Lonchura striata: one gene and its partners. Each later gene encodes a partner of the first gene's protein in a complex. Links are inferred from orthologs where the notes say so. Each region holds a gene or a part of one and is shown in the gene's direction. Other genes may lie near its edges.

The links. The genes of interacting proteins can lie anywhere in the genome.
Region 2: the proteins of CALCRL (region 1) and RAMP3 are in contact, whole or in part, in a cryo-EM structure (PDB 6UVA), measured with the Homo sapiens proteins. The link is inferred for Lonchura striata from reciprocal best matches to the Homo sapiens genes CALCRL and RAMP3. Residues at the interface, in NP_001258680.1 of Homo sapiens: Arg38, Asn39, Met42, Thr43, Gln45, Tyr46, Glu47, Tyr49, Gln50, Met53, Trp69, Asp70, Ser117, Arg119, Thr120, Phe228, Leu231, Ile235, His238, Thr239, Val243, Val245, Lys249, Gln250, His251, Trp254, Tyr255, Phe257, Leu258, Phe262; in NP_005847.1 of Homo sapiens: Trp56, Cys57, Leu59, Phe62, Ile63, Tyr66, Glu67, Thr70, Cys82, Tyr83, Pro85, Asn86, Pro87, Leu88, Gln90, Ile93, Thr94, His97, Arg98, Cys104, Thr105, Val106, Asp107, Arg108, His110, Leu111, Glu112, Asp113, Pro114, Val118.
Region 3: the proteins of CALCRL (region 1) and ADM are in contact, whole or in part, in a cryo-EM structure (PDB 6UUS), measured with the Homo sapiens proteins. The link is inferred for Lonchura striata from reciprocal best matches to the Homo sapiens genes CALCRL and ADM. Residues at the interface, in NP_001258680.1 of Homo sapiens: Val36, Thr37, Asp70, Gly71, Trp72, Asp90, Tyr91, Phe92, Gln93, Asp94, Phe95, Asp96, Pro97, His114, Ser117, Thr120, Trp121, Thr122, Tyr124, Thr125, Asn128, Val135, Ala138, Leu139, Leu141, Phe142, Thr145, Thr191, Leu195, Ala199; in NP_001115.1 of Homo sapiens: Cys110, Arg111, Phe112, Gly113, Thr114, Cys115, Thr116, Val117, Gln118, Lys119, Leu120, Ala121, His122, Gln123, Ile124, Tyr125, Gln126, Phe127, Thr128, Asp129, Lys130, Asp131, Lys132, Asp133, Asn134, Ala136, Pro137, Lys140, Ser142, Pro143.
Region 4: the proteins of CALCRL (region 1) and RAMP1 are in contact, whole or in part, in a cryo-EM structure (PDB 6E3Y), measured with the Homo sapiens proteins. The link is inferred for Lonchura striata from reciprocal best matches to the Homo sapiens genes CALCRL and RAMP1. Residues at the interface, in NP_001258680.1 of Homo sapiens: Asn39, Met42, Thr43, Gln45, Tyr46, Glu47, Tyr49, Gln50, Lys51, Ile52, Met53, Gln54, Thr68, Trp69, Asp70, Gly71, Arg113, Arg119, Thr120, Phe228, Leu231, Ile235, Thr239, Val243, Ala244, Gln250, Trp254, Tyr255, Leu258, Phe262; in NP_005846.1 of Homo sapiens: Trp59, Ile63, Tyr66, Arg67, Ala70, Phe83, Trp84, Pro85, Asp90, Phe93, Leu94, His97, Gly98, Phe101, Arg102, Cys104, Pro105, Ile106, Ser107, Gly108, Arg109, Ala110, Val111, Arg112, Asp113, Pro114, Ile118, Leu119, Phe122, Ile123.

The regions. Positions count from the first base shown.
Region 1 is NC_134610.1:31,706,628-31,713,540, forward strand, and holds the start of CALCRL (calcitonin gene-related peptide type 1 receptor), read left to right. Parts: upstream 1-3,880; 5' UTR 3,881-3,984; intron 3,985-4,014; exon of another isoform or gene 4,015-4,175; intron 4,176-6,913. UniProt on the Homo sapiens protein: G protein-coupled receptor which specificity is determined by its interaction with receptor-activity-modifying proteins (RAMPs). Together with RAMP1, form the receptor complex for calcitonin-gene-related peptides CALCA/CGRP1 and CALCB/CGRP2.
Region 2 is NC_134603.1:82,685,486-82,693,511, forward strand, and holds the start of RAMP3 (receptor activity-modifying protein 3), read left to right. Parts: upstream 1-4,963; 5' UTR 4,964-4,977; coding exon 4,978-5,140; intron 5,141-8,026. UniProt on the Homo sapiens protein: Accessory protein that interacts with and modulates the function of G-protein coupled receptors including calcitonin gene-related peptide type 1 receptor (CALCRL), calcitonin receptor (CALCR) and G-protein coupled estrogen receptor 1 (GPER1).
Region 3 is NC_134608.1:51,968,063-51,975,355, forward strand, and holds ADM (pro-adrenomedullin), read left to right. Parts: upstream 1-4,610; 5' UTR 4,611-4,801; intron 4,802-5,383; 5' UTR 5,384-5,399; coding exon 5,400-5,497; intron 5,498-5,810; coding exon 5,811-5,951; intron 5,952-6,426; coding exon 6,427-6,730; downstream 6,731-7,293. UniProt on the Homo sapiens protein: Adrenomedullin/ADM and proadrenomedullin N-20 terminal peptide/PAMP are peptide hormones that act as potent hypotensive and vasodilatator agents. Numerous actions have been reported most related to the physiologic control of fluid and electrolyte homeostasis.
Region 4 is NC_134610.1:38,601,739-38,608,616, forward strand, and holds the start of RAMP1 (receptor activity-modifying protein 1), read left to right. Parts: upstream 1-3,815; 5' UTR 3,816-3,856; coding exon 3,857-3,896; intron 3,897-6,878. UniProt on the Homo sapiens protein: Accessory protein that interacts with and modulates the function of G-protein coupled receptors including calcitonin gene-related peptide type 1 receptor (CALCRL) and calcitonin receptor (CALCR). Required for the transport of CALCRL to the plasma membrane.

The DNA.
Region 1 (6,913 bases):
CGTAAAAATTTCTCATGGGCTGCCAGCATTAAAGCTTACATAATTGCTAGATTCCATGATGCAGCTCAAAGGGAGGCAGAGCTGAAGTGACTGCATTAAACTAAAACATCTAGGGCTTTCATGTAAAAGACAAGAAAACTCATTAAGCTGTCCCACCAAGAACATTGAAAAGGATTTGTAAGATTTGTGAGATTGATTAGATTACAAACTAGAATGATGAACTTTCTAAAACAGAATGTTTTGAAATGAGACAATAGATATAAAATGTTAGGAAAGAAAAGATTAATTTGTATGCAGATTATATTGTGATTCCTCTGTCATTTCATGACAGTGTCTCTCCTTCAGGCTCCCTCTTGTTCCAGCAACTTTTCCATGGCTGCCTTGATTCAACATCTACAAAACCCACATGGGAAAAAAGATCTAGGGAAAAAAAAAATCATCCTTTCTGTCCCAGCAGAAGCCTGGCTGTGTGGCTGCTCTCCATTTTATAAACTTCCTTCTCTCTGAGCTCTACTGCAGACTAACGGGGTCTCCTCACTGAGAGGGATCAGCTGCTCCCAGGACTGTGAGACTCCTCCAGGACTGCTGTAGCTAGGATAGGACTGACAGGTACTCTCCCATCCTCTCATACCCCACTTAACATTGTACTGGAGAAACTTCTTGTGCTCCTGTGGTATGTCTTGTAATAACAGCAATTAAGGGATCCAGTGAGGTCTCTGTTGTGTCATTGTTGAGAGAGGAGGGAAATGGTACAGCTAGCATCTCAAGAGTACCTCTCTTTCAACTGACTAAGAAAACATTTCATAGTGATTCATCTGTCAGGCCTGTTACTTGGTGCAGTGAGAATCAAGACTGCAGTGTCACAGACTGTAAAGACCTGATTATAATCAAGATTTGATTAGAGAGTGCAGGCTGCTCACAGCTGTGTGTGCAGTTTGGCCACCACACCAGCTATCCAGCTGTTTTTGTTTAGCTCAACAGTACATAGAGATATTTTTTTCCCATAAAAAGTCCAAACTGCAACGTGAAATGATCTTCAACATAATAAGATTCTTTTGTGCCCTTCTGCTTAATTCACTTCTTTTTGCTTCTGTACCTCCCATAGCTGCAGAACAATCAAATCCAATAAGAAAAAAAGATCTACGCATTTCCCAAAGACAACTAAAGGATGAGCAAGGGCATAATTGAGGCACAACACAGGAAAAGGTATGGGTCAGGTGCCAGAGTGGTGAGGCAGTCAGAAGATGAGGCTGTGCTAAGGTGCTACGGTGACTGTACAGTTCCACTTGACTAGAGTCCATTCATCCAGTCATTTCATTCCAGAATTTTCTCCAGTTGCTTTGGGAGGGGAAATGCAGAGTGCTGTGAAATTTCTCCCACGCTGTTTGGTAACAGCCAACAAGCTGAAGCAGTTTCACAGAGGTTTTGATGAGTTTCCATATATCATCTGATCTGCAATAACTTGGTATGTGCTCTTAATCCACACAAATGATATCAAAATATTTTTGAGAAAAAATTAGTGTCCTTTTGTTAATTCTCTTTTTTCCTCACATTTGTACTGATATGCCCTCCTTTTTCTCATTTTTATTTTCTACCTCCTGCTTGAGTTTTATTTATGGTTCACTTGAGCCAGAATTTCTCCCTGCATCTCTAATCCCCTTACTTTCTCAAAGCTATAGTTATTTTTTTATTCACATTTTGAGCATGTTTCCAGCTTCTACCTTCTGAAACTTAGTGAAGGAGACCTAAGGGTTGCGTTTCCTAACCAGATGTTTTCAATGGTGTCTCCACAGAAAGAGCGGGCTTCATGTGAAGCAGAGCTGTATGCGTGTGGTTAGGGGGTGTTCACACAGGGCAATTAATTCCCGCATTAATTAATTCCCGAATTAATTAAGAGGGTAAATCCTTGTGCAGGTAAATCCTGCGTTTATGCCCCGTGCGGCCGCGAGAGGGCGCCAGCGGCGCGGCGAGCGCTGGGCGGGACGGCTCTGCTGGAAAAGGGGGAATTCCCTGGATTTATCTTCTTCTCTCGCTTTTAAGCCTTTTTCGGTCCCACTCCAGGGAGGTTTGCACATTTAGGTCCCCTTGAACTGCTCCTTCCTTAGCTGTCGGCAAGAAGGGCACCTGTACGGGCGTGATTTACGCAGCCAGCGACGGGGAGATGCAGGGGAGCCGCCACTCTCAGAAGTGCAAGCTGCAACAACGGAGGGGTCTCGGGAATCTGTAGGGTATGAGTAAGTAAGTTTTAATGTTATTTAATCAGTAGAATATAAAACATTGTAAAAATAAACTCCAAAACCCCCCCGAGCGAGCAACCAAAAAAAACCCCCACCAACAGAAATGCTCACACAAAAATCCAGTGACTTTGACAAGCCAAATGAAGCATGGCCTGTGTAATACGTGTTTAGCTAATTCAGGTGCCTGTTTTAGAGCTGTGAGCTTGGCTGGAATACATGGATTATTCTCTAAACTGGAGTGTGTAATGTACCCTGTTGCAATCTTCAACCCAGACCTAACTGGTTTAAAGCAATGCTACCAGGCTCATTCCTGGTGAAATTCCTGTACCTGAGATGACACCACTTCTTTTAGAGAAGTTAATTTCCATTGCTGTTCAGAATCAGAGCTCATCCACAGTTTATATGTGTTTACATTGCCTAGAGGTTCAGAGTGACAGTCCTTAGTTCTTCACTGATTATAAAACTCAGACATTCTCCTGTTGATGAGAGATGAAGCACCAGTTCTCACATGTGCCAAATGAGTATCCAAGCCTGCTTTTTTGGTAATCCTGGAGTGGGATTTCACAAATTGTATTGTCTAGGGACCATTTGGATTGAAAGTATGCCTGGCCTTCTTTTCCCTCTTCCAATTTTTCCTGACCCTGGGTTTGGGCTGGGTTTTATTGAAGTTTTTTGTTTGTTTTTATGTTTATATTTCCCCCTTAGCTTTTTGTTCCTTGCTGTTTTCAATGCCCAGGTAAATTCTTTCATTCAGTTCACAGTGTGTTCCACAAATTATTCTGCTGGAGGAAAAGAAAAGTGGATAAGTGACAGGTAGCAAGAAACAAGCAGAATATTTTATGTTGTTTTATGAGCAAATTCAGTGGTATAATTTTGATAAAACCTTGTGACAGTGTGACTTTTGGGAGGTTCTTGTGGTGTTCCCTAAGGAGTACTGGTGTTACAGGCGTTCTTATAATTTCAGTTTGATGCTCCATGAACTCCCCATTTGTTCAGCATAGTTTTCCTGTGCATACAGTAACTGGTTATTGGTTTAGAGGGCACAGATTCTGTCCATAGTACAGGGAATTGATTGTATAAAAAATATTTGTAGTTTCTGGTACAATATTCTTTGAAGCTAGTGGAAAGACTGCTATCCATTTTGTTTTGTCCTGTGTCATGGCAGTTTTCAAACCATTCATACTTGTGCTTTCACATCACCAGTGTTTAGAAAAAGATAGCGTAGAGATCAGCAGTAGCAATGTTCCTGTTGCTTTTTTTCCTATATACTTCTTGATAAGTCTTGATACTTCAAAGACTTATTTCTTTAATACTTTTTTTTTGTACCCAAGAAAAAAAATAGTAGCACTGTAAATTATGTGCCTGATTGTGATTGAAAAATTGAATCTGACCTGTGCAGCTGCTTTACGTCTGAGGAATAAAGGGAATTTCTGTGCAGAGCTTGTCAGCCCTTACGGTATGGGATGTCATGCAGAGCCGGTGGGTCAGGTCAGGCATACTGAGGAGCGATGCAGCTCTCGTGTGCTCTGAAACTAATCTGTTTCTATGGGTCTAGCTGGAGGAGGACGGCGAATCTCAGTGGCTCGATACGCGAAAGGACAGGTCCCGTGGTCTCCTCCTAGCAGCAGAGCGGCGAGCGAGCGTCTTGCGGGCGGAGCTGCGCCGGCCGGGGCCAGCCGGCAGCGCCGGGGCTCGGACGCCGCTGCGGAGCCCCGCTTCCCCGGGCCACGCCGTGCGGGAGAGCAAAGTGACTGCCGCGGCCGCAGGCGGGGTCGGGTGATGTAACAGGAAGCGCTGATGCTCGGCCGCCGCTCCGCGCTGCTCGGACACGCTCCCGCAGCAGCGCCGCTCCGCCGGGACAGCGCTCCGGATTGCGGAGCCCCGGGAGAGGCGGCCCCGCTCGCTCTGCCCCGCGGCGCTCTCTGCAAGCAGGGCTCGGTGAGTGGCTTCATTGGGATCCTCGTTCTGCCGCCGTGACACCGCAGCGGGCGGCGGGACCGCGGCTCTGCCCCGACCCCGGCGGGCGATGCGGTCTGCGCCCGCACAGCCTGCGAGGAAAACCTTCGCTCGTTTTTAGCGAGCGAGGTGTTGGGCTGATTTTATAACCGGCGGTGTTATGGTCTACGCTCGGTAGGATAGATAGAGATAAAATGCCCAAAGGTAGCGCTTTAAGGATTCTGCCTGAAACCTAATATTAACTAACCAAATCTCTGTCTTCACATCTGGAGAGAATTAGAGACTCGTTGGCTTGAAAAGGGTCCTTAAGACTAATTCAGTACAACTGCAGCTCTTTCAATAGAGGCTGAATTAGGTGATAAAGTGGTGTAGGTTTACTTACCGAGTATTTCTCTAAACTTATTCTACCAGAAAGAGGTCACACTTGAGTTGTTTCATAATTAGGTTTTGTGTTGTAATTACACAACTTAAAAGATAAAGCTACTGTTTTGTTTGGGCTTTCTGTTTGCTTGAGCAAAAGTTGGGTTGCTTTGAAGGCTGCACGCCTGCCGGCACGTTACTGTTTGAGGTTTTTGACCGCAAACACCGAGGTGATTTATTGACAGCTAAATGCCCACTTTTCCTTCCTTAGAGAAACTATTGAACGGTGGCAAGTGTGTGATGCCGTGCTTTCAATTGCCAGCTGATAGGCAGTTAACGTCTTGACACTCCTTAAGCTTTCCAAAACAGATGTGATACCCTCCCGTTTTACAAATGCGGTTGCAGTGCTGAGATTGGGAATTCTAGTCATTTGCTCGTGTGGTAAGAAAGGGAGCAATAGAACCAGGAAAATAAATCTTGTTAGGCTGTAAATCACACCTGGATTTGATCTACAACTAATCCTTCAGTTATCCATGCAGTTTATAAGAGAAGAGAATGAAATTGTTATAAAAATAACTGAGGGTTTTTTTTCTCTTTACCTTAATAAACTTACACCAGGGACCTTGGGGATGGACTTTGCTGTTCTTACAATTGTGCCAATGCAATCTTCCCACTCTTAATGTGCCTGCTGGGGATCTTGTCATTCCCTTACACTAGTAATGCTTCTAACAGTTGAAAACTCTGAATCTGAGGTCCTCTCGGTGCATGGGAAGGAGACACTCTAGATTAATATAAGACCACATCTGAAAACAGATGTGTTTTCTTTTAAAGTACATATGCTGTGGTACTATGTGAAATCCTTAGTTTTAAAAAGTTATCTGTATTAGCATGGTATTTTCTTCTCTAGTTTGCTTAAACTCTCATTATTTCACTGTATATAGAAGCAATCCCAAAGTCTTTATCCAACTTTGGGAATCTGCACAAAAGGCACTTGGTGACACTAAGTCAATAGAGATGGCACTTCACATAAACGGTGCTTATGTTAAATGACCAGTGCAGTGGGAACAACTGTCTTTAGAAGTATACCAGCTAAATGATTTAGATTCTTATTTTTTGTTCTTCATAGGCAACTGGTGTATGTTGAAGTGGGTCTGCCCACAGAAGATATGCCAGGCATGTGCATGTTTGCAGGCTGTATGTCAGAATCTATGTTGTTTGCAGGTTAAGCAAAGACAGGCGGGGCTGTCTTTGCTTAAGAAGAGTGTGACTGCATTTTTTACTGGACAAAACTGAGTACCTGATAGATTGCAGATTCAAGAATTGCTTTATGTGTGTCCTTTCAACTTCAAATGTTACTGCATACTGAATTTCTGATCATTTGGAGTCATTCTCTGCCTTAAGAGATATAGTACTTGTCCCTTTGAATAGGCTTTTCTTGATACAACACAACTGTTGAAACCCTGGCCCACTGAGAGCCAGTGGGAACTTTTCCACTGACTGTCAAAGGGCAAGACATTCCTAAATGTGGGTATTTTTCTGCTGAAGGAATTACACATAGATGGTCAGCCATCCAGGGACTTTACATTCTGCTGTCTGTTGGCAGCTGGTTTTTTTGGTAATTTCTGTAATTTTGGAGCACTTCAGTTGAAAAACATGATCTGAAAAACAGAACTGCATGTGTCTCGCTGGGTGACCGGTGCCTTACCTGGGTCAGTAAAGGGACTTACTCTGAAAAATACAGGATTATTCCATGGGCTGTCTGGGTATTGCAGTTCAGATTATAGACCAGGATACAACTGAGAGTAAAACTGAGGGAAGAAAGCACATTAACAAATTTCCTTTGACATCTATATAGTTACTAACTTGCATTTGAGGTAATCATCTTTCTCCAGTAGCATTCCTGGCTTGTGCAGGAACTTGGTAGGACTGGACTCACAGAAGTACATGAAGCCATGCAGTCATGCAATTAAAATGGGACCATGGTCATTTGGAAGAAATGATGTGTTTTATACCGATATGTTTTAATAATAACATGTATTCAGTGATATTTAAAAGAGGTGTATCTAGTCACTGCTATAGTAACTGTTGAACATAAGCTATCAAAGCCATTGAGGGAAGTTGTCCAATGAGAAGACAAGTCTACAGTTAGGAAAACAAAGCAGGATTTCTCCTTAAGAAGTTGTTCCCATCTGTTGCCAGTGTGTTTATGATGTTCTTGATTTGGTACCAAAGCCCCTTCAGTGCTTCTGAGCAGCTGCCACCCCTGTGGCACACACGCAGTGTTTGCCTTGCCTCGGTGCCCTGGCCAGCCCTGCTCTGCAAGCCTGGGCAGCTCTGTCACTGAGCTTCATGTGCAGCAG
Region 2 (8,026 bases), on another chromosome or scaffold:
CAGATCTGACCGATGTAAACTAAATTTCGGTATGACGTACAGTAAATATACCACAGTGGGGCCTTTGAGTCACAGGAAGAAGTTGTTTTTTAACTGGACAGTGTGGTTTATCACGTTTTTACATTTCCTATCTTGATGGTAAAAAGAGAGGAATTATCTTAATAACCTGCAGATACTTTTTTTTTTTTTTTTTTTTAATTCTGGAGCAGGAACAGCATGTTTCTAGGAGCACTAAATAGGAAGGATGACCTACTTTAGTTTCAAACCACAGGCAAACTGAACCTATTTTTTCAAACCTCGGTCCAGCAAGCAATCCCATTAAAACGTGGTCTTGAAATCTTAATGCGTCTTTTATACAAAATTGCTGTGCTAGGAAAAGGTGAAGAAAGCTTTCATCAGACACTGGGTAAAGTCCCTCCATATGGGCAAGCAGTCTCTCTCTCTGGGCAAATTCATGAAGTGACAAGGAAAGGCAATGTTGTTTTCCATAGTGTAATGTCTTCAGCTTTTTCTCAATTTATTTTATTATTTTTTCAGTTTCTGTTGAATCAGTTAAACTCTGGAGCAAGAAAGTTTATTACCTTATTCTTCACCATTCTGAGACCTGTAGTGCTGACAATAATACTTGTCCTGGGCAGCTTGAATTCTTCTATCTCTTCTCACCATGAACTCCTCAGGAACTTGCTATACTGAAACAACTATCTACATGTCTGTTGCTGTATTTTCTTTTACCCAATGTCTTGTTAGCAGATGTAAGCATTTTAGAAAAATTCTGAAGTAATGTGATTGCAGCACTGTCTTCAGGGTACCTAAGAAGGTGTCAGTGTGATCTCTGGAAGTTATATGTCTGGAAATTAAAAAAGACTGGTTCTGAGGTCACTGTTAGTGTCTGTGTTGAGGACGGGATTCAGAGCTCTGTATAGCAAAGGGCATTTATAGCCGGATTTCCATTTATAGTTGGATTTCTGCTGCTAGTGTAGGTACATGATGCTACCAAAGCAGATCTGCAGAACAAAAAAGGTTGTTTGCAGTCATTTTGGAGTGAATCTCTTCGCATTACTGCAATACAATGGGAGTTGGGGGAAGTGGTCAGTCTTACTGAAAAACTGCAAACTGCTTAAGTTTTTTGAACCATCTTGAGGACTGTTCTACTGCTGTCACAGTTTTGTTCAAATGTGAATCAGACTTACTCATTTTAGAACACGTTGCTGAAGATATCACCTACCATAGCTGGCTTGTGATCCAATTGTTATAGGTAAAAATTATCAAGCCTAATTAATAATTAATAATTAATAAATCAGATTTTTATTCAGCGATCAAGATTTGGTCTAAGACAGCCACAATCGAAAGAACAGAGCCGAGCCCGGGATCGGCACTGGGTGAGACATAGGTCCAACCGCTACAGCATAGGGTCTCCTATGTTCACACTGATTGTCCTGTCCCAGCGGTTCTTATACAGTTTATTCTGCCCGAGGCAGAGTTTTCTGCGATCAAGATTTTCTTCCTTTCAGAGTAGTATATTCACATAGTTTCTTTTCTCCAGGTCAAGCTGAACAAAACTGTATCCAAAGCGTGATGTAAGTCCATCGTCGAGTTACTGGAACGTGGCATTGAGATGTATCTTTCCGATGTATTTATGAAGTATTCATCGCTTCGGAGTTCCTCGGATCACCTTGCTACGTTCATTAATTTGCAAATGAGGTCCTCCTCTCTCTTGTCAGCGGTTTTGACATATCTTGAAGCAATCTCCCAACTCTGGCTTGCATGCTTAAAACCTTTTAAGAATATTTCTGACCAACATAACATATTCTATATATATTTCTTTTTATAAGCATGAATTATCCAAAATACACATAACACAATGCAACATGCTGCATTAGTGCATTTACCTATAAATTCTATCAATTTTTTCTACCTCAGAGATACTGTTTGCACCTTCAAACTATGTGCTGCAAGCACAAAATGGTAAGTGCTTCCTGAATCTTGAGAGTTGGAAGAAGTAACACTCACTTTGCCAGTTTTTAATCTGAAACAGGAGAAGAAAACAAATGCAATTGATGCAAAAAGACCCGACACCATTATCTCCAGGTGTGTTACAAAAAGCATTGCCTTTATACTGTATAATATACTATACTTTTAAAACATTTTAAACATATAATATTGCAATAAACCATGATGCTTAGCCTCCTGGAAATCAATCTAAATTATTGAAAATACTAACTGTATTTTCAGATTTGCGAGAAATGGAATTTGTGATGGAAATCAAGATCTTACTGTTAGAAAGAATGCTATATGTTATAGGTAAAAATTAATCTAGCCAAATTAAAAAAAAAAAAATTATTTAGCGATCAAATTCTATCTGAGCCAGCTACAAAGAAAAGGACAGTGCTGAGACTGGGATCGGTGCTGGGTGAGACACAGGTTTGACCAACACAGCATACCCCTATGTTTCACACTGACCGTCATGTGCAAGCAGATTTTATATGGTTTATTTTGCTCGAGGCCAGGATTTTGGCAATCAGCCTTTTCTTTCCATTCAAAGTCCCACAATTTTATAAAGTCTCTTTCCTCCGTGCTGAGTTGAACAAACAGGAGTCCAGGAAGCAATCCTTGTCCAGGAAGTACATCCTTGATGGAGTTAAAGGGAACTCAGTATTGAGATGTATCTTTTGGTGGTTCCAGAGATCTCAATCTTGGGTAGTAGCCAGGACAATCATTGCCTGGGAGTTCCTAGATCACCTTGAGAAATGACCCATCTCGAACCTAAGGACCTATGTGTATTAACTTGTAAATGAAGTCTTATCAGCTATAGTTTCAACATATGTGAAGCAACCCCCTAGCTCTGGCTCGTATGTTTTATGCCAATAATTTCAGTAGTATGAAACATTACATACCTATTGTTATGAACAAAACAGCCTGGCTGGGACACTTTGGCTTAAGCTAAGTATGGACATTGAAATGTTAATTAGCTAATCGCTCCTGGGAATCACCTACACCCCCACCCAAACTAGGACTAGGATGCAAAATAAGCCAGTGGAATCATGGGAGGGGGTTTTGGGGATGAAAAGTACCCCAAAATGAAAAAGAGGGGCACAGTGGAGGGGGCTGGATGGGTGTGCTGGTTGGGGAAAAGGGAACCCCATCCCTAGTCTGTGTTTGACCTGTCACCATAACCTGCAGAGGACCAGATTGGATTGGACTGTGGGAAGCAGGCACAAGGAGAACAGACACTTTACCTGGTGTTACCAGGAGGGCAGGAGAGGGATAGCTGCTGCCGGATTTCAGGATTTCGGCAGCAGGCTCTGCACATCCTCCCCCTACCCTGTGACTACCAGTGTACCAGGAGGAAAGGAAAGAGGACAGTCTCCTGGGACTTCAGATACAGACTGGACACCTCTTCACTTCTGGCTACCAGTGTGCCACGGAGACTCCAGGGACAGACTCTGCACGCCTTCTCACCCTACAGCTACCAGAAGAAGCTACAACACCCCCCCCTGCCGAGCTGACTTTTTAATAAAGAGCTGAACACTAATAAAGGCAAAGACCTTCTTCATTTCACCTATCACCCTGCAGGCACGAATTATCCATATTACACATAATGTATAGATGGTATAACTAGTCTGTGGTGTATGTGCCTTTATGCTTGTCACTTTGCTGCAGCTTCTTCTGGCAGGGGCAGATTGCAAACACTCTTTACAAAGCAGAAATGGTAGCCCCTGTGCTGAAGGATGATCTCCCTGAGCTACGGATTATTTATGGTTTATGGTGTTTTACAAGCTTTGCTTCCAGCTAAGTGGAAGAAGTGGCACACAAGGGATAGGAGGTTAACTCTCAGTGACACACTTAAATGTCTACAGAGCTGTTTCAACATTGTATTCCCAACCTTCTCTGTGGTTTCTGAAGTTCTCCATTTCCTTCAGCCTAGACAACAGAATAAATCAGACAAAGGTTGTGTACTGAAAACAGTGGTTACAAAGGCACATTTTGGGGTCCCAGTCTCCAAAAGTGTTTGGAGCACTGTGCAAGGCAAGTGTACAAAGTCAATGTTAACAACCTGACTGATACCTAAAAGTACTCTTTGTTCCTGTGTGTGGCTTGAAAATCTCTTTTGAAATTTGATGGTACATTTGACCTTTAATAATGACAGTGATTTAATGTTCTACTAGAAGGCCATTATTGAGGTGGAGTGTCCATGTACCCAGAAGAACAGTCTGAGTCCTCGTTACTGAGCAATACTACTATTTTTAGGTAAGAAAAGTCGCCTTTAGCAGCTTCCCAGTCTGGTGTTTCTCGATGGATATGCTAATTTCCTAGAGAGCTCTAGGAACACAGCTTTTAAATATTGATGAAAATCAGGAGCTGTACCATCTCTGAAAAGAGACAGGCAAAGATGAAATTGCAACATAAAAATACACATACACGTAGCATCTTAGAACTCCAGGCTGCTCTGGGTCTGTGTGGGGTCAGACAAGCTCACTCCCCATATTCAGCTGTAAATACTGAGCATGCCAACACATGCCGTGCAATGGCTGCAAGTGAGCTAACACAGGTGGCCTTCCAGCATCTCATGCCTTCACCCCCACCGCCAGGATGTTGTGATAGGATGAAAGCAACTGATCTGGCTCCCAGGGCAAGGGGTGAAGAATCCCTGAATCCCTCAGACAGTTACAACCAGAACTGTCACCCTGGGGGTAGGTGCCTTTCCTCTAGGCAGCCACACAGACCGATGGCTGGGAGCGGCATCGCTCCTGCCGTGGTTGTTGGAGGAGCAGGAGGCACAGCCGCGCTTCTGTGGCCGCACACACAGCACACTCGCACGTGCTTGCCCCTGCTCCTGTCCCTGTCCTGTCCCGTTCCGCCCGGCCCGGCCCGGCCCGGCCGCCGTTTCCGCCCTGCTGGAAGCACCCGGGGCGGAGGAGCTGCTCCCCTGCGCCCCCGCCCACGCTGCCGCCGCCGCCCGGGGCTGGACGCCGAGGCATGAAGAGCCTCCCCTGCGGGCGGCCTGAAGCCAGTTCGGGCCTTCTGCGGCTGCGAGCTGGCCGCCCCATGTGGGCTCCGTCCTCCGCGGCCGCTGCCGCCCGCGCCGGGATGGAGGCGCAGGGCAGCCGCCGGCAGCAGCTCCCCGTCCTGCTGCTCTGGGGTAAGTGGCTGGCGGAGCTGGCCGGGGGCGTCCCGGCAGTGTGCGGTGGGGCTCGCCGCTACCGCTCCGGGGCTGCTGCACCGGGACGGGCTGAGCATCCTCGCGGGTGCGCAGTCTCCGAGGGCAATGCTTCAAGCCGGGACGTGGGGCTGAAGTTCGGGGAAGGTGGGAGCGCCCCTTCTTTGGCTAGAGAATCCCTTTGGGAGGGGGTCTCCGGGCCTCCCTTGCCGGCGGGTCGGGACGCAGCGGGGATCACTTTCCCTCCGGGGCTCTCCATCCCGAGCATAGCGGCGGCTTCGCAGCGAGAGCGTTCCAGCCGCGCCTGGCGGGCAGCGGGGCCGGTGGTCCCCTTCAGCATCGCGCCGACATCTCTGAGAGGAGTCCAGGCCCCGGGGTAAACAATCTCTAACTTCTTGCCTTAGTCAGGATTTCCATCTTGGATCCCACACGGATTCTGGGGAGGTGTGTTTGGCTATTGGGAAAGGTTTTTTCCTGAAGAATGAAGGGCTGATTCCTGTTAGAGTAGTTGAGTTTCAAGCACGTAGCTATCAAGCACAGATATCCTTCAGATCTTTCACTTAGTCTGCCTTGGCTGCTGGAAAAACTATTGTTCCTTGTCAGGTAGATTGCTTAGGGCTCTCATATTTAATGTGTTGCAGTCATCTGAAGTTGCCAGAAATCAGCTCTGATCATCTTCACTCAACAGTAAGCTAAGAGATGTAGTTGATTTCCTGTGAGTCACACTTAAGTAACAAAAATTCAAGCCTGGTACCTTTAGAAGATATATCTGAGGACTTCAGAACTTTGTTATTTTTGACCCCTTCCAAAACTGCTAAACACTGCAATATTTCTATGAAAAGACCCACAAACAAATAGACAGTTTCTACAGTGCTCAGTAGCATCATCCTTAGCTGGTCTGTCAACAGAATGACATGCTACATGCACAAATTTCTGATTCTCTGTGGCTTGAGGACTTCTAAAATCTTACCTTAGTTGCTCAGATTTCTGTTATTCCTCAGCTGAAAAGACAACCAACACTTGTATTGACATGTGAAATATTTATGCAGTCTTGAACTTAGGGAAATAGGCAATAATCTTTTTGTATGGGGAGGCAATGTTGCTGTGATTTTTGCAAAGTAGAATTATCCACTGGAGATTTGTTTTCAGAGATTTACTAGAGTGAAGGACAGTGTCGCTGTGGCTCAGGAAGCTACAGGACATTTTTCACCAGAGAGGCACAGATAAATCAATTGTGCTAGACATTTTTAACTGTGCCAGTTCTAGTCCTAATTGAATAACGCAGACACAAAAGATTTTAAGAATATCTGTTAACTGATAATACATTACTTTTTCTTGGAATTGGAAAGGGTAGATATAATCAAGAACTAATTAAATGAGACTAGTTTCCTAGTAGAAAAACTTTAGAGTTTTAGGATGTGAACTCAGGTTTTTTTATAAGAAAAGCCTAAATTGGTAGAAAACTAAATTGCTTATTTGGAAATACAAACACAGTTTAAAAAATAGTTATTTTGTAAGAATATTTATTTTAATTGAATGGTCATTCTTATTTTTTTTTTTTTAATTAAGCACAGAGCTGTGACCTCTGTCATTAAGGTGAAACCACTATTCCTCAGTGCTAAGCTCACTGAAGGCAGTGGGAAGCCCATCTGGGTGGGGTGTGGGACTGTAGTTCTGTAACCACAGGCAACTACTTTCTTTATCTTTCTGCCTAGGAGTTTTGACTCATTATGTCTATGCATAACTACTTGTTGTGTTGTGCATCCTTAGTGAGATGGACAAAAAGGCAGTGTGTTCACTCAGTGATTGTAGGAGAAGCTGAATTTACAGAGTGTGGAGGGGAAAGAATGCATCAGCCGAGGTACTTGGTACACAGACATGTCATCAGTTCTGTGAAGTGCAATAACATCCAGAATGGGTAAGAGCTGGAAACACCAGCTGTCAGGTGAAATCCTCTGATTTGGCTTAGCAGAGCTGTAGATACTTGTAAGACACCTACTAACAGTGGAATCTAAGCACCTAAGAAATAGCGTTGTATTTACCATCATACCAAATTTTCTTGGTATACTTCTATGTATGGAAACTGAGGTAAGAAGAGGTAAGGGCTTGACCACTTTTAACAAAGTCGTTTTTTTTATACAGGTAATTGTTTTGGAATCCCTGCCCAAGTGTTTCTCCTTCATTCCTTATGTAACACCTGCAGTTCCATGGTACTATTTGTATTTGAGTAAAAAGATGCTACCAGAGTAAAGCTGGGTATTTTTTAAATTCCAGAGTAATCTTCCTCAATATATTTCTATAAACCTATTTCAAGAGAGATAGTGTGATCCTTATCTGGAGCAGTTCTTGTGTGCAAATTTCAAAGATAGTCAGTTGGTTTTTGCATTTCATAATCTGTTTTCACAGGGGTCAGCCAGGCTTAGTGCTTTGGTCACAGCTGAGCAGCTGGACAGTTGGAAACAGCCTGGTCCCAATTACATTTTTACTTTCTGTTTTGAAGACTACCTCATCTGCAAACAATAATGAAAAAGCTGAGTATAAAAGTCCAAATTCTGTAAGGTCCTGAGCTGCCCTTATGTGAAACATGGCATATATAAGTCCTGGAGAGTTTGGATTCCAATGATAAAAAAAAAAAAAATCCAACAGGAAACAATTTTAGTGGGTTAAAGTTTGAAAACCAAATCAAGGTTTTTTTTTTTTCCCCATTATTTTCTTATGAATATCATGCTGTTCTGCAGCTGCAAAGGGTGGAACAAAGAAAGGGAATACCATCGTAGGAGTTCTGAATTTAATAGACCAAGGTGAGTGTGTGTGTGTAAAACAAATAAACTTTTACAAAACAGACCATTTTATTTTGAGACCGACCAC
Region 3 (7,293 bases), on another chromosome or scaffold:
ACGATCCACCCTGACCCAGCAAACAGTCCTTAGTGGTCTCAGAGACATTTCTGCTTCAAACACGCCGTTCTTACACCTCGTAGCTGGGACATGGTGATGCAGTGTCTTGCTGCTAAGCCAGATGCAAATTTGACAGGAAGCTTCAAGCAGTGTTCCCACTTGTGCCTTCTCAGCGGAGGGCAGAGGTTGACATCTCCTCGGAGTCATCAGCTTCGTGATTTAGCTGTTTTGAAGAAAATTACATGTGTAAAGATCCAATCCTAATACATTTCCTTGTTTAGGAGTAAAGAAAAATGTGTCATATATACATCAAAAAGATTGACCATACTTTTTGAGAAAGGGATGCACTCTGTGGGATCAGTCACTTCTTCTAGCTAGAAGTTAGGTAGGAATATCTTTGTTAAGTTGTGCATAGGCATTTTGGTTGTAGGACACAACAACAGTTCACAAAAACAAAGGATAATGTTTTGTACATCTAAACCTGGAGCGAAAGTTTAAAGACACTAAGAAATTACCTAATTTGGAGCTGAAATAGGACCTTAGAGTTATTGTATCTGCATCCATAAAAAGGTTCAATATGCAATAACAAATCTCAATAGTAAAATCTCACTGCCCTTTTAATACAGCACCTCTAGCAGGAGAGAATCACTCACACCTTTCCTTAATAAATGCTGGTTTAAGAGAAAGATGTTTATTTAGTGATTTTGCAATAATGATAGTGCTCACTTTACAGCCTTGCTCCTTCTGCCATCTAGATCAGGACAGCCAAAGTTTATAAGAAGTGGCACGTCTTAAATAAGAAATAGAAAGTTCAGTTGAGCTTATTTATTCACAGAATCACAGAATGGTTTGGGTCAGGAGGGATATTAAAGACATCCTGTTCCAACCACCCCCTGGCTACAGGCAGGGACACATTCCACTAGACCAGGTTGCTCAGACCCATCCAACCACACCACAAACACTTCCAGGGATGTGGCATCCACAACTTCTTTGGGCAACTTCCCTTAAGTATAGAGCAATCTTACATTCTTTTAGGACTTATGAAGAAGTGGAACAGATACAGTGTTTGTTCACCTAAATTCTAATGGAAAGTTAAACTGAATGTTCATCCAGACCACCATTCCTTCACTTGCAGCAGGGTAGCCTGGCTCCTCACAGGAGAAGCAGGGGCTCACAGAGGACACCAAGGCACAGGTCTCCACAAGCCCCTACTCATGTACTTAACCCAGGGGAACAATTGCAAGGCTGCAGCCTCTCCAAGAGCCTGAAAGCACTCAAGGGACAATGTTGCCACACTCACATTGTGCACTTGCCAACAACAAGGTGTGAACATCCACAATACCTTCTACATTTCACTCCTCCTTCAGGAAACAGGGAATTCACACTGCCTGCAGTCTCTAGCCAGTGTCACCCCAACCTATGCCAGAACAGGGGGCAGCCATGTCCCTGACCAGGTTTTCCCCTACCAATAGACATCCCCCACTGACTTTGGAGGCTTTGTTTGGTATAGTCAGAGCTGTCAGACATAAGGCTCACCAAAGCACCTCCAACAAGACTACCAAAATGGAATCACCCCTTTGTTGCTGTGCTCTTGGCACTGAGAGAACTGGCTGAGTACAGTAAGGTTTTTCTGTTTGGAGCTTGATTGAGGTTTTACATCCTTCAGGGGGTGCCATTCTCCTATTAGTATTATCTTTCTGCTGATTTCATGCAGCCTGAAATACAATCCAGTCTATTCATACTCATGGCATATGAATTCAGAACAATTTGTTTAAACAAAGTGAAACATGCAAAGGCACTTCCACTGGCTTCAAACAACAGTTTTCTTCCATAATCAGCACAGAATATTTGTCTCACAATGATTCCCCGTTGCTACCCACAGATTTTAGACCTTTTCTAATCAATCTCAACCTGAATAAAATTCTCTATTAACAGCAACTCATATTCACCATGTCCCTGGCAGAGCAGATACTTGTTGTAAAGTCTTCTGTATGGGAACACTAAGAGGTTGAATGGTACACCCAAGATAAGCAGTAAACAGGGGCTGGCTGCTCCTCCAGGCCAGCTTCCCATCACGGATGAGGCAGCATCCAGGAGACCCTGCACTTCACATCACACAGTGGTCTTGCTGAACTGCTTGGCATTGCCTCAGACTCACAGCTTGTGAATGATATTGCTGTGGAACATTCTGTGGAATTGTTTGTTTGTTTGTCTGTTTTTTAAGGAAATAACTATTTGTGGTATATTTTTTTTTTAAGTGGCCACTGTTACATCATAGTACCAATTTAGTGACTATTGCTCATTTCCAAACTGCATGAGAATGCAAGTTCATAGAAAGAACAAAATGAGCATCTGAACAAAGAACATGATGTTTTGTGGTAGATTTGAACAAGCTTTACCTGCTGACGCCCTTTCACAAATCATATCAGCAACAAACTGATCATCTATGTGTCAGAGTTTGCCACCTCATGAATTTACTTGAAGTAATTTTGTATCACTGAGATGATAGTTACAGTCAGTATGGAAGGCACATGAGAGTTGTGTTACTACTGTTATTAATGATCCTAAATCACTAGGAATTTTTTTCTTCATTGTTTGGCTTAGAGTATACAAAATACACTTTCCGTTTAAGCCAAGGATTTTAATGAGGGGGTTTCCAGCATTTGAGGAAATATGTGATTTTTTTTTTTTTTTTTTTTTTTTTTTTTACTGGAATGGGAGACTTAATTTGAGTCAAAGCAATGCTTATCACATAAAATCCTGCCTTCTCATTCGAGAAAAAAAAAAAAAAAAAGATTCTGTTTCAACTTCTGCTAATCAAGGAAATGCTTGAACCCGCACGAGCTTGAGCTGGCTCATGAGGTCTCTAAAATCCAGCCATCCCGGGATGATGCAGCTCTGGTCACGATCCGGTCCCGTTCTAGACCACTTATTCGCCTGTTTCTTCCTGCCTGTTTCCCCCCGAGCCTCTCGCTCTGCCCGTCGGTGCTCCGGAGCCGGTCCGAGGCGCGGGCACGGGGCTGCGGCTCCGCGGGGCTGCGGGCGGAAGGGACGGGGCGAGCCCCGCGGGCTGCCGGCGCTCCGGGGCCGCCGCCGCCTCCGCCCCGCGCTCGGCCGGGCAGGTGCGGCGGACCGCGGATCCGGGCTCGCCCGGCGGCCGGCTCCGGCCCGGGGCACCGGCCTCGCCCCGCGAGAGCCGCGCAGGGGGCTCGGGGCAGAGGGGCGGCCGGCTGGTGCCATGGGGAGCAGCGACAGGCAGTGCTGGCCCTCCCCGGCTGCCGGGCCAGCCTGTCCCGCACAGGTAGATGCCGGAGACAGAAAGCTCCAGATGTCTGGACGCTGCTGGGGAGCGGAGGGAGGGAGGGAAGAGAGCGCCTTAGACCGAGTGAGCCGTGCACAGGAAAGTTTCCGTCATCCCCCTTGCACATACCTCTCCGGGGTGTTGTTATATACCGCGGTTATCTAGAAAGGCACAGTCACGAGCACACACTCACTCACCTGACTTTTGAAACGCTTTGCTTGGGGCAAGATGCGAGAGGAACATCTCACCAGCTCATTCCTTCCCGCCGAAAGTCTCTCGCTGGCCAGGGGACCCTGGCGCCCCAGGGCGCAGATCTCCCGGGGCATTTCCCTCGGTCCCGCCGAATTTGCACTGCGACAAGTAAGCGGAGACACGGTCCCTCCGCTGCTGGCTTCCAGCACCCCCTGCGAAGCCGGACCTCTGCATTTCTGAAGCGTCACGGAGCAAAGGCGTTAAAGACTGTAAAAAACCCAACAACAAGGTGGTCAGACTAAGGTTTTGCTGCTGGCCAGCCAGGAGAACGCTGTAAGAGACCCCGATCCTGCACTGGTTCAGCTATCTGACCGGGAAGTAACCGCACTCACGTCCGTGAGGTTTGCGGATAGGGAATAGCACAAGGCACGGCGGATCTTCCCAGCGCCCGTAACCCCAGGCGCTTCAGTGACCCTGTGTTTGCCTGAAAGCAATGCCACTTGCTCTGTTCCAAGGCACAGAACTGGCCTCTAACCTTCATCTGCCAAAACCATTTGAGTCGTGATCTACTTGAATCGATCAAGTAAATAAAATTCATTTTGTTAGATAAAAAATGCACCCAAGTTGTCATAAATATTAATGATGCCCGATTTGCCACCTCATTACTTATGTAAAGAAGGCTGTCATTCCAGTTACTCATCATAAATTCACGTTGTCCAAATATGGGTTTATTTTTGGAACTTTGATATTTGATTGATTTTCATGGATTTTAGATTTAATTGAATCCGGTTTCCACTCCCCTGCTTTCACCCACCTGAAGCTAAGATGTCTAGAATGAGAAATTATGCTACAGACAGCATAAATATAATTATATTTTGACGGTTAAAATGTCTGTCCCCAGTAAAACAGGCTGAGGGGCTCATCGGATTTTGCAAGTTGTGCCATAACTCAGGATCCTAAAAGCTGCCGTTATAATTAACAAAATACCAAGGGGGTTGTTGAAGACAATTTTCAATAATCCTCTTTTCCCCCCTCCGTGTTGCCCCCAATCCAGGTCAGAATGCTTAAGGAGTGCTTGAAATGTGGGGGTGGGGGGTGCCAAAAGAGAGATCGCCCAGCCACGCCAAGGTCCACCCACTTCTCAGCGCTGCTCTATAAAAGCGAGCAGTGGAGCGCAGAGCTCGGCAGTGATTACTTCACACACACACACATACACACAAAGGAGGAGTTCTCTCTTCTCAGGAAACCCTGCGAGCTCGGATCGCTACTACAAAAACATTTGTCTCAGTGGATTATCCTCACTGTCAGGTAAGAGCTATTTTTTCCCCCCGTCCTTGGCAGCAACAAAAGATTCAGGGGAGGTGGAACGCAAGTAAAATTCTACTAAATTTGGACTGTTTGGAAGAGTTTGGAGTTATGCTGTGGAGTCTTGCACTGGCTCTTGGCATCAGCTGCAGTTCACAACATAAGATCCAGAACCAGTTGGTTCTGCGTGTGAATTGGGAAGAGGAGCTATCAGGGAATAAACTTCCCGGCATCAAAACACTTGCTGGAGTTTGGAAACGATGCGTCCGATAGCCAGCTCTCTCTGATCCTGTGGGTTTGCTAAATCCTAGTGCAAGCCGCTGGGGGTATTCTGGAAATCCTGCTGGTTTTCAGCCGCCTCTGCAACTAAACTCTCGACAAACGTAAACTTTGGAGGCTCTGTTATTTACTCTGTGATAAGTTGTTGAGCAAATATTAGCTTCTGGTTCATATCAGACACAAAGTCCCCGGTAGCCTGGGGGCTCTGCGAGGGAAGGAGGTCTCTGGAATCACCAGGAATAAAGGACAGTCCTTACTTGACTTTTGTTAGCAAGCATGCTTATAGTTCTGCCCTTTCCCTTCCAGCAGGAGCCCAGCCAGAATGAAACTACTTCACGTAGCCCTGCTCTATCTCGGCTCTGTGACTTTCTTCGGGGTGGATGCTGCAAGAGTGGACGTAGCGACAGAGTTCAAAAGAAAGTGAGTATCGGAGCGCGCCCTCCTGCCAGCGCCCCGCGCCGCGCGTCGAGCTGCCGAGCCCCCGCGCCTGGCTCCGGCAGCGATCACAGGCACTGGATTCCCTGCAGGAATTGCTCAGCTCCTTAAAGGCCTCGTGCCCTTTCAGGAAACTTTGCGGGGAGGAAAAAAAAAAAAAAAAAAGAAAAAAAAAAAAAAAAAGGAAAAAAAAATCTCGGCGCTGGCAAAGTTTTTCGCCTCTCGAATCTATTTGGTTTGGCTCCCGCCCCTGCAGACTTGCGATAACAGGCTCTCCTCTTCCCTTGTGCTCTTTCAGATGGACGAAATGGGCACTAAGCCGAGCCAAGCGGGACGTGAAGCCTGCGGGCTTGCTCCGAGGGCTGGGGGCAGCCGCCGACGTGCTGCCTCTCATACGCACCCAGGACGTGAAGGAGGATTCCCGAGTCTCGCCTTCCAGGTAAATTCCAGCCCTTCTTGGGTTCGGGCACTTGCTCGAGACATTGGAAAGTTTCGGGGTCCCCTCGTTTCCGGGTGTTTAGGGTTATTCTCGCTGAAGATCCTCCCCGCCCCAGAGGCAGGTCCTGTCCGGGCTGCGCATCGCGCTGAAAGCAGCCTCCCGCCTTCCTTTCCCTGCGCTCTTTAGCTGGCGGGAGATAGTAGCGCCTTTGCCGTGAAAGTCAGATATAAATAGTAACTCGAGCCCTGGATGCATAGGGAAAAGTAACAGCCGTAAAGCGGCGGGGCCTCTCCTCGCATGGGCAGCAGGCTGTGCTCCGCGCTCCCGCGGAGGGCACAGCCGGGACTGCTGGGCACCGTGGGGACGAGCCCGTCTCCAGCCTGGGGGCCCTCTGCCCTCCCCTCCCCTCGCCCACCGGGTCCCCTCCTCCGGGCCCCCACTGCGCTCTTCTCATGCGCTCTCTCTCTTCCTGCAGCAACCGGGAGGATGCTCACATCCGCGTCAAGCGCTACCGCCAGAGCATTAACAGATTCCCCCACTTCCAAACAAAGGCGTGCCGCTTCGGGACGTGCACGGTGCATTGGCTGGTCGACGAGCTCCACAGGGCGGCCGTCAACGATAGGAACGATGCCGCCCCTCCAAACAAGATCAGTCCTCAGGGCTACGGCCGCCGGCGACGCTCCCTGCCCGAGCGCCGCAGCCCAGCGCGCTCCCGCAGCTCCGGGCGGCGCCCGCGGACGCGCCGGGCGCAGCCCCTCGCCGCCGTCCTGGGAGTCTGAAGCGCCGCAAGACCCGGCCGAGGCCGCCTCGACGGATGGACTGAGATCCGCCAGGATTCGCGGAGAGCGTCTGCCCGGGCGGGACCCCGGCGCGCCCTCGGGGGAGCTGAGAAGGGCAGCGGACGCTGCGCCCCCCGCCCGCCACGGACTCTGGCCCTGCCGGGCCGGGCACCGCCGGCTCCGCAGCCGCCGCAGCCCGCGCCGCCAAGGCGCCGCCGCTGCTCCCGGGGGCCGGGCGGCCCTGGCCGCCCTCCCGCGCCCCGCCGCCCCGAGGAGGGGATGCTCAGGGGGGACCCGCCGGTGGGCGACGGGCCCCGGCCTCGCCCTCTGCCCCCGAGGGTCGGAGGGTGCGCGTCAGCCGTGGGCAAGGACAGGCCGCCCACATCTGCTCTACCCTCTGCGTTATGTGCACCCGGCAGGGAATCGGACACTCATTAGTCCCTGCGGGGACTGCGATATACTTGAACGTCACAGAGAGGAAAAGTGCAATTGTACGTGGTTTTTGTTAATTATAAGTGCGGTGTGTGTGGATCACGAGATATGCATCGGTATTTAAGATTGTT
Region 4 (6,878 bases), about 6.9 Mb from region 1:
CAAAGTCTATGGAGAAGATGTCAGCTCAAGAACAGTCACTCTTTACTTTCTTACATTTATTACTAGAAGTGAAGACAGTGGGGAGTGGGAATGAACAATCTTCTGTTCCTGTTGGTGGTCCAAAAACCTCAGTGCCTGAGGTAGGTCTGTTCTTAATTTGTAGGAGGAATTTCTTGCCTCTTTAAGGCTTCTTTCATACTCTGCATTTACTACCAAGAGCCTTGATTTGAAATCACCTACTCAACAGCTGGCACATTGTTTGCTTGGAGATAATCAGAAGGGAAGTAATTATTGCTCACACTACTTTGTGTGGCAGACTAAGCTTTAAATCTTCCTGTCACGTAACATTTAATAGATAGAAAATTATGTAAGGATAGGAAAATATGTAACATATTGGTAATAAGTTTCTGTCATGTGGCAGAAGAGTGAAAGCACCATTCTTTTGCCCCTGCATCAGACTGTGACACCCCAGCTGGTTTTTCTGAATCCTAGGACAGTTTGGAATTTCCACGTTTGCACTACATTTTTCATCTTGCAACACCAGTTTTTTTAATGTAAGCGTCCTGTGGCTTTATACAGGAAAGATTTTGGGGTAATGGATGGGAAGGAAACTCTTGGATTTTCCAGCATAAATCTAAGAAATCTATACATACAGTGTTTTGTATTGGCTCAGCTTAGTCCTTGGAGAGTAAAGGGCAATTCAGTAATTGCTGGTGTTGCTCACATAAACCCCACAGATTTGCTGTCTTTGGGGATTTCCCTTTAAACATGCTGGTCCTTTGGGAAATGGTAATTGGATCTACTTTAAAGTAGCAGGAATAAGATGAGCTTTAAGGTGCCTTGCAACCCAAACCATTCTGTGGATCTAGGATTTTATATTTATTTGTAGGAAAGAGGTGTTTTATTACCCGTACAACCCTTAAGCCATGCATTTTTTTCCCTTATTTTGATGCACTTCTAGGATCCTGGGGAAAATTCCCTGCAGAAAACATCCATTTGTTCCTCTGTGGACCCATCTGGTATCTTTGTTTCTCCTTACGCACTGAACTTGAGCAGCTTTACCAAGTTAATAAAGAGACTCCAAAAAAGGCATCCAGGGTTTAGCAGGTGAGATATTTGGATTTCTTTTTCGCCCTAATTTGTAATGTAGTCAATACGCATGCTAACCAATCACTAAATGTGTGGCACAAAACATGATGTTCACGGTTATTTCCTTCATTCCCACAGAGAGGAAATTGCAGGCGCAGTGCAGGAGGTGAGGAGAATCAACAAGGGTGTCCTGAGTGGCATGGCCATCAGTTCTATTGAGGAGAAGGCCTCTGACATTCTGAGTTCTCAGCAGCAGAAGCACTGAAAGAGGTGAATATTCCAGGCTAAAGGAAGTAAACCCACCCTACAGCCTGACTAGATTATTGCAGCCTCTGGCCCTGCAGGAGGTACCGGGGTGAATCCACTGGAGCAGCGGTTTATAAAGACTGGGAGCTGTAAAACAGGTTGCATTCTATAAATCTTGGTGTACTGGTGGTTTATTACTGAATATGGGGATTTTTGAAGGCATTTTGAACAAGGTAGAGACAGGACCTCTGAGTTTTTAGGTTATGTGGTTATTTTTCTTCTATATAGATAGAAAGGATGAGTTTGACTCACTAGTGCATAGTTCAGAAGGTCACAAGACCTTTAGTTATAAGACCTTTTAAAGCTTTATTGGCCAATAAAACACTGCCAACAAGGATATTTAAGTTTTTTGACCCAATTTTTAAATATTTCCTCTTATGAACTCATGCTACAGTGTAAGCTTTCTTAGTCAGTCATGTTATGACACACAAACCTACAGTACTGCATTCTGAACTCCTTGTTTATCTTTGTAACTGTTTACATTTTTTCTCTATCTTAAACTTCAAAAGTGTAAACTTTTCTGTTCTTAATGTGTCTCTTCTTTAAACTATAAATCCACATTCTCGCTTCTAGCACCTAAGTTTGGAAGACTTTTCCAAGTCAGATCAAAGCCTGTGTTTAATTCTGAGCTTTGGCTTACAGGCCCAAAGTCCTGAGAATCCCCTGTATTTTGGATTCCAACAGCTGGACTGCCTCACTGCTGAGCTGTGTGGAGGGCACTGTCTGCGTTCAGTGCACAGCTGACACCTAAGGGCCAGGCCTTGTGTAGCCTCTCACCCGAAATCCCAGCCCTGGCTCCCTCTGGATCCAAACACTGATGGTTTCTGTCTGCTGCCTGGGCCAGCTCTGGGCTGGAAACCTGACAGAATCAGACTGTGTCTTGTTATTTTCTCTCACCGATGCTTTTGGTCGTGTGGCGCTGCAGCAAGCTGAAGGTGCTGAAATTACAGCCCAGAGTTCCAGGGATGTGTGTCCATCCTTGCTTTAGTCTCCTGCTCAGCTTGGTGCTCTGCTTGCTTTAGGGACCTCCTAGCAGCGCCACTGCCACATTTCCTGCAAAAGTCTTCGGATTAATCTCCTGGCTGACTTTCACAGGACTGTAGATAGGGACAGAAACTCATCCCCAAAACATTAAAATCTTATGCTTGGAAGCATTTTCAGTCAGTTTTAACAGCCTCAAAATGTGTTGTGCTTTCCTTATGGAGTGATTATTTGGTTTTCCAGTGGTGCGTGGGCTCTGCAGTCCAAATTGTTCATATTACAGTATTTTTTCCCTGTTGTTTTGTGTGGGAGATGATGACTTATAATAATTTTTATTTTTAACATGAGGGAGGTGTGAAATGGCCAAGGCATTACTAAATAATGGGGAAATAAGAATCCCCATTTTCCACAGTAAGAAACAAGTATATAATACATTTAAGAAAAGGTGATTCTGCTCAGAGATCACCTAACCCAGTCTCTTGTTTGTACTTTGTTGCAATTGCTGCTGGAAATAACAGCCTTGTTTACTGTCAATAAAGGTTAAAATTTGTTCTTCAAAAGAGTTGGGTCAATGCTGTGCTGTTTGCAGACCTCTTCTGCTGCCTGTCCCCGTGGCAGAGCCATGGCTCTGTGCTGTGCCCTTGGTCCCAGTGCTGCAGGTGAGGCCGCGGCTTTGGTGTCTCGGGCTCTGACAAGATGGAAGCAGTCCCAGGCTTTGCTCTTCACCTCATTACCAGCAGCTGTTGTTCCCCAAGCCGGGCTCTGTGATTAGGCGGGTGCTAATAGTTCAGGAGGAACTGGCTGTCTTGTTCCTCTTGGGAAAGCAAAGTGTGCACGATGTGAAAGACTCGAGTTAGCAAACTCTGCTGTTCCTTTTTTATTGACCTTCGAGAGGGAGAGCTGACCTCAGGCGTGAGAGAAGCGAGCTGTGGGGCAGTGACCCCGCTGCAGCAGAGTCCTGCCCTGCTGCACGGGCGTATCCCGATCCGGAGCACCTGAGGCTCTGCTGCTGGGGCACAGCTCCGCAGCGAGCTGCAGGTGGAGCTGTAGGAGCTCGGGAGCGGTGCTACACTCCAATAAACATTAAAGCGGAAACCACAAAACATTCCTCCTTAAAATCGCCTTCCATGTGTATGTTCAGCCCTAGAAAGGGGGAGAAGGCAGGATGTTTTAGCTAGGGAGAAATCCCCTCGCTGGAGGTGGAACCGGGGTTGAGGAAGGCGGGCTGCTCCGTGCTTTCCTTCGGAACTGTTCGCCCGTGGGCTGCGAGGGGGAGAGGGCGATAAGGAGAGCCCGGGCTCCATCTCCGTCCCGCTGTCCCCGCGGGAGCGCTCCCGCTCCTGCGGCCCGCGCTGCCGCCGGGAGAGCGGAGCGGAGCCGGGCGGGGCCGCGGCCGCCCCGGGCCCGCCCTCCCTCCGGCAGCGCCGCGGGCGCGGAGCCCGCCCGGCCCCGGCAGCGGAGCCGCGGCTGCCGTGGGGCCATGGCCCTGCTCCCGCGGCGCTTCCTCTGCTTCGTGCTGGGTAAGTGCGGCCGCCGCGGCACAACTTCCCCGGGGCCGCCGCGCCAGGCTCCCCGGGACTCCCTCTGCGCCGGGCGCGGGCGTGCATCCCCGGCCGCCTCCTCCGCGCTCCCACCGCTCTCCCTGAAGCCCGGCCAGGCTCCAGCCTGGCTTCGCTGGCGACACAGCAGTAGGGAAAGGAAAAGGAGAAATTATTCCAGGGCGCTTGGCCTCGGGAGCAGTGAGGTGGTGATGCTGTGGGACGCAGCCTGCTTTGTAGGGGGATTCTCTGCTTGCTAGGCGAGCTGGACCGAGGCGGGTTCTGTCTCTGGTCCGTGCCTTTTGTTGGAAATGTTTAATTACTGCCTTTTGTAGTCTGTCTTCCCATTCCTGAGCCGCAGGGAAGAGGAGGTAGCCAGAAGTGCCTCTTCAAAGAGCTGAGGTCGGATGTTCTGGGGTTTACGGGTGGAGGGCTTGGAAACGCTGGAGTTGTGTGCTTGTTTCCATGGGATGCCTCGGTTTCTTCGCTGCTCCTAGCATTTCAGTGCAACAGGTAAAGACTTGTGCCGTGCTTGTCACCTGTGTGCCCTCAACAAAAGCTCGGAGGGGTGGTGATGGTGTTGGTGCTGTGTAAAAGTGTGTTTATTTAAGGTGCTCCAAAGGGAAACCGCACCCCCTCATCTTAAGCTGATCTTCCACAAAAGGTGCTCCTGAGGCAGCACAAATTTTTCCTTCTTTCCCTTCCTTCCCCTGTGCTGGTTTTTTCCCCCCAAACCCTGGGGAGTAACGCAGTGAGCCGTGCTACACATGATGTGCTGATCTGTACCATGTAATTAACTATTTACTACTGTAATTAACTATTTACTACTCCTCAGCTGTGCAGGGCAGGAGCAGCCCGTGCCCTTGGACGAGGCACATTTTCCTGCGGGGTTGCAGGGAAAAGCTGCACAGCCCTGTGCAGAGAGCGCTATCTCCTGCTAGCTAGGATTTCTCTCTGCTCTTTTTTCCCTGCCCCGTCTCCTTTTCCTGACTCTCCCTTCTCTTTGCTGGGGAGCTGTAACTTTTAAAAGTACTCCAGGCTGCTCCTTTCCATCTCCAGTGGGCTCAGGAGCAGGAAGATGCTGCCTCTTGTGTGAACCAGGTGCCCAGTGACAGCTCATCTTGGTGCTGTAGATGTTTTTCACTACATTCTCCTCCTGGGATTTTGTATTTTGAGCACATTTAACAAAAAGACCCACTTACTCTTTTTACACCTTTCTGCTTTTACGGCCCTGCACACAGTCAGGGCTGCCCTGAAATTGCAAGTGGCAACTGAGTGCTCAGAAATCAAGGTGATTTGCACCAATGCAGGTATTTTAAAATGAGATTTTTTTTAAAAAAAAGAGAAGGGTCTGAGAGAAAAACCTTTCTTTTAAAGCTTGAGCTTTAAGAAATTTCACCACTGGCTGCAGTCTTTAAAAAGCAATGGCAGCCAGGGAATCAGTCATCCTAAAAGTCTCATTCAGCAGGCCAGGGATCCAGCTGTACCCCGAGGTAACCACTTCCACTGGGGCTTTTTCTGGGTTTTGACTGCAGCTTCCTGCAGAGGCTGCTCAGGGAGGAGGGGATGAGGCAGGCTCTTGCTGTTACTGGGGCAGTGATGATTGGCACCACACACAGCTCTGTGCTGGGCTGCTTGGATTTTTTCTGGGTGTAGATAACTATTACTGTGAGAGGTAAGAGGCAGTTGCAAATAAGGTTGGTAAAACATTAATACCTTCTTGATTCCCTGCATCTTTTCTCTGTGCTGTACAGCACTGTGTTTGCATAGTCTATAGAAAACGATGCTTTCTTAAAAACAAAACTTCTAGGCAGTGTGTATGACCTTTCCTGGAAAACAGGAATTAAAGTGCTTTGTGTCTTCTCTCAGGCCAAAGCACACTCGGTAATGCCTGCCACTGATTGCAGTTTGAGTGCCTCCTTAATCAAAAGCTAAAGCTCCCTTTAAACTCGAACTTAAGGCTGCTGCCTCTCTGAGAAAATCCCCAATATTTACAGAATGCCTCGTTAGAAATCCCTGACAATAAAGTAAAACATTCCTCCTCCTTTGAGAGCATCTCTGGCATGGAGAGGACTCAAAACTTCCTATGCATCAAAAGAGAAGCACGTGAATAGGAACAACAAAATTGCCTCCACCCTGTAATTCCTTGTACTGCTCCCATAGGTGCCAGTTGTTTTGCTGCAGGAACCAGTGGCAGGTGGGTTTGGTGGGCTGGCTGGAGGCTGTGTGATGTTGTCAGGAAGCCTCTTGGCTTTGAGGAATAGGGTTGCATTTATTAGCTCTGAAACGATGCTGAGTTTAAGTGAAGCACTGGCACAGCAGCCTCCTGCAGTAATGCAAATACAAATGCCATGGCCTGGATGGAATGAAATGAGACCTCATAATGGGTAAAGATGGGCTTGGCATCTTTTACCTTTCCACAGGGCTAGAAATCAACGTTGGGGTTGTGGCAGAGTTGAGGGATGTCTTGGAAAGCCGTGGGTGGGAGTCTGGAGTTGCTGCTCTGCTCTGGCAGCTTTGTTCTGCCTCCCTGACTGGATGCAGAGTCTGGCTCTGTCATTTTTTGGGGGGAAGTTCAGGGCAGATTTGTGCCCCAAGTCCGTGGCTGTGGTCAGAGCCCTTCCCAGCACGGTGCCTGCACCAAGCCAGGACCTAAAGCACCACTGGGTTGGAGCAAGAGGAGCATTAAAAACCCATTAGAGGGGAAATGCAGCATTTTAGCTCACTCAGATAGCTAAATGCCTTTTGCTGCTCTAAAATACAGCCACGGCTGGGGTTTGCCAGGTCAGTTCCTCTATGGATGGGTGATTACCAGGGAATCTTCATCCCTATCTGCCATTACACTGCCTGCAGAGCTGGGTGCTTTTAATCATCAAATCCTCTAATGAAGCTGCTTCATGGTTTCAGTCCCTTGTCTCTGTGCTTCTACAGCATGAGCTTTTGGGGATCTGAAAACACATCCTG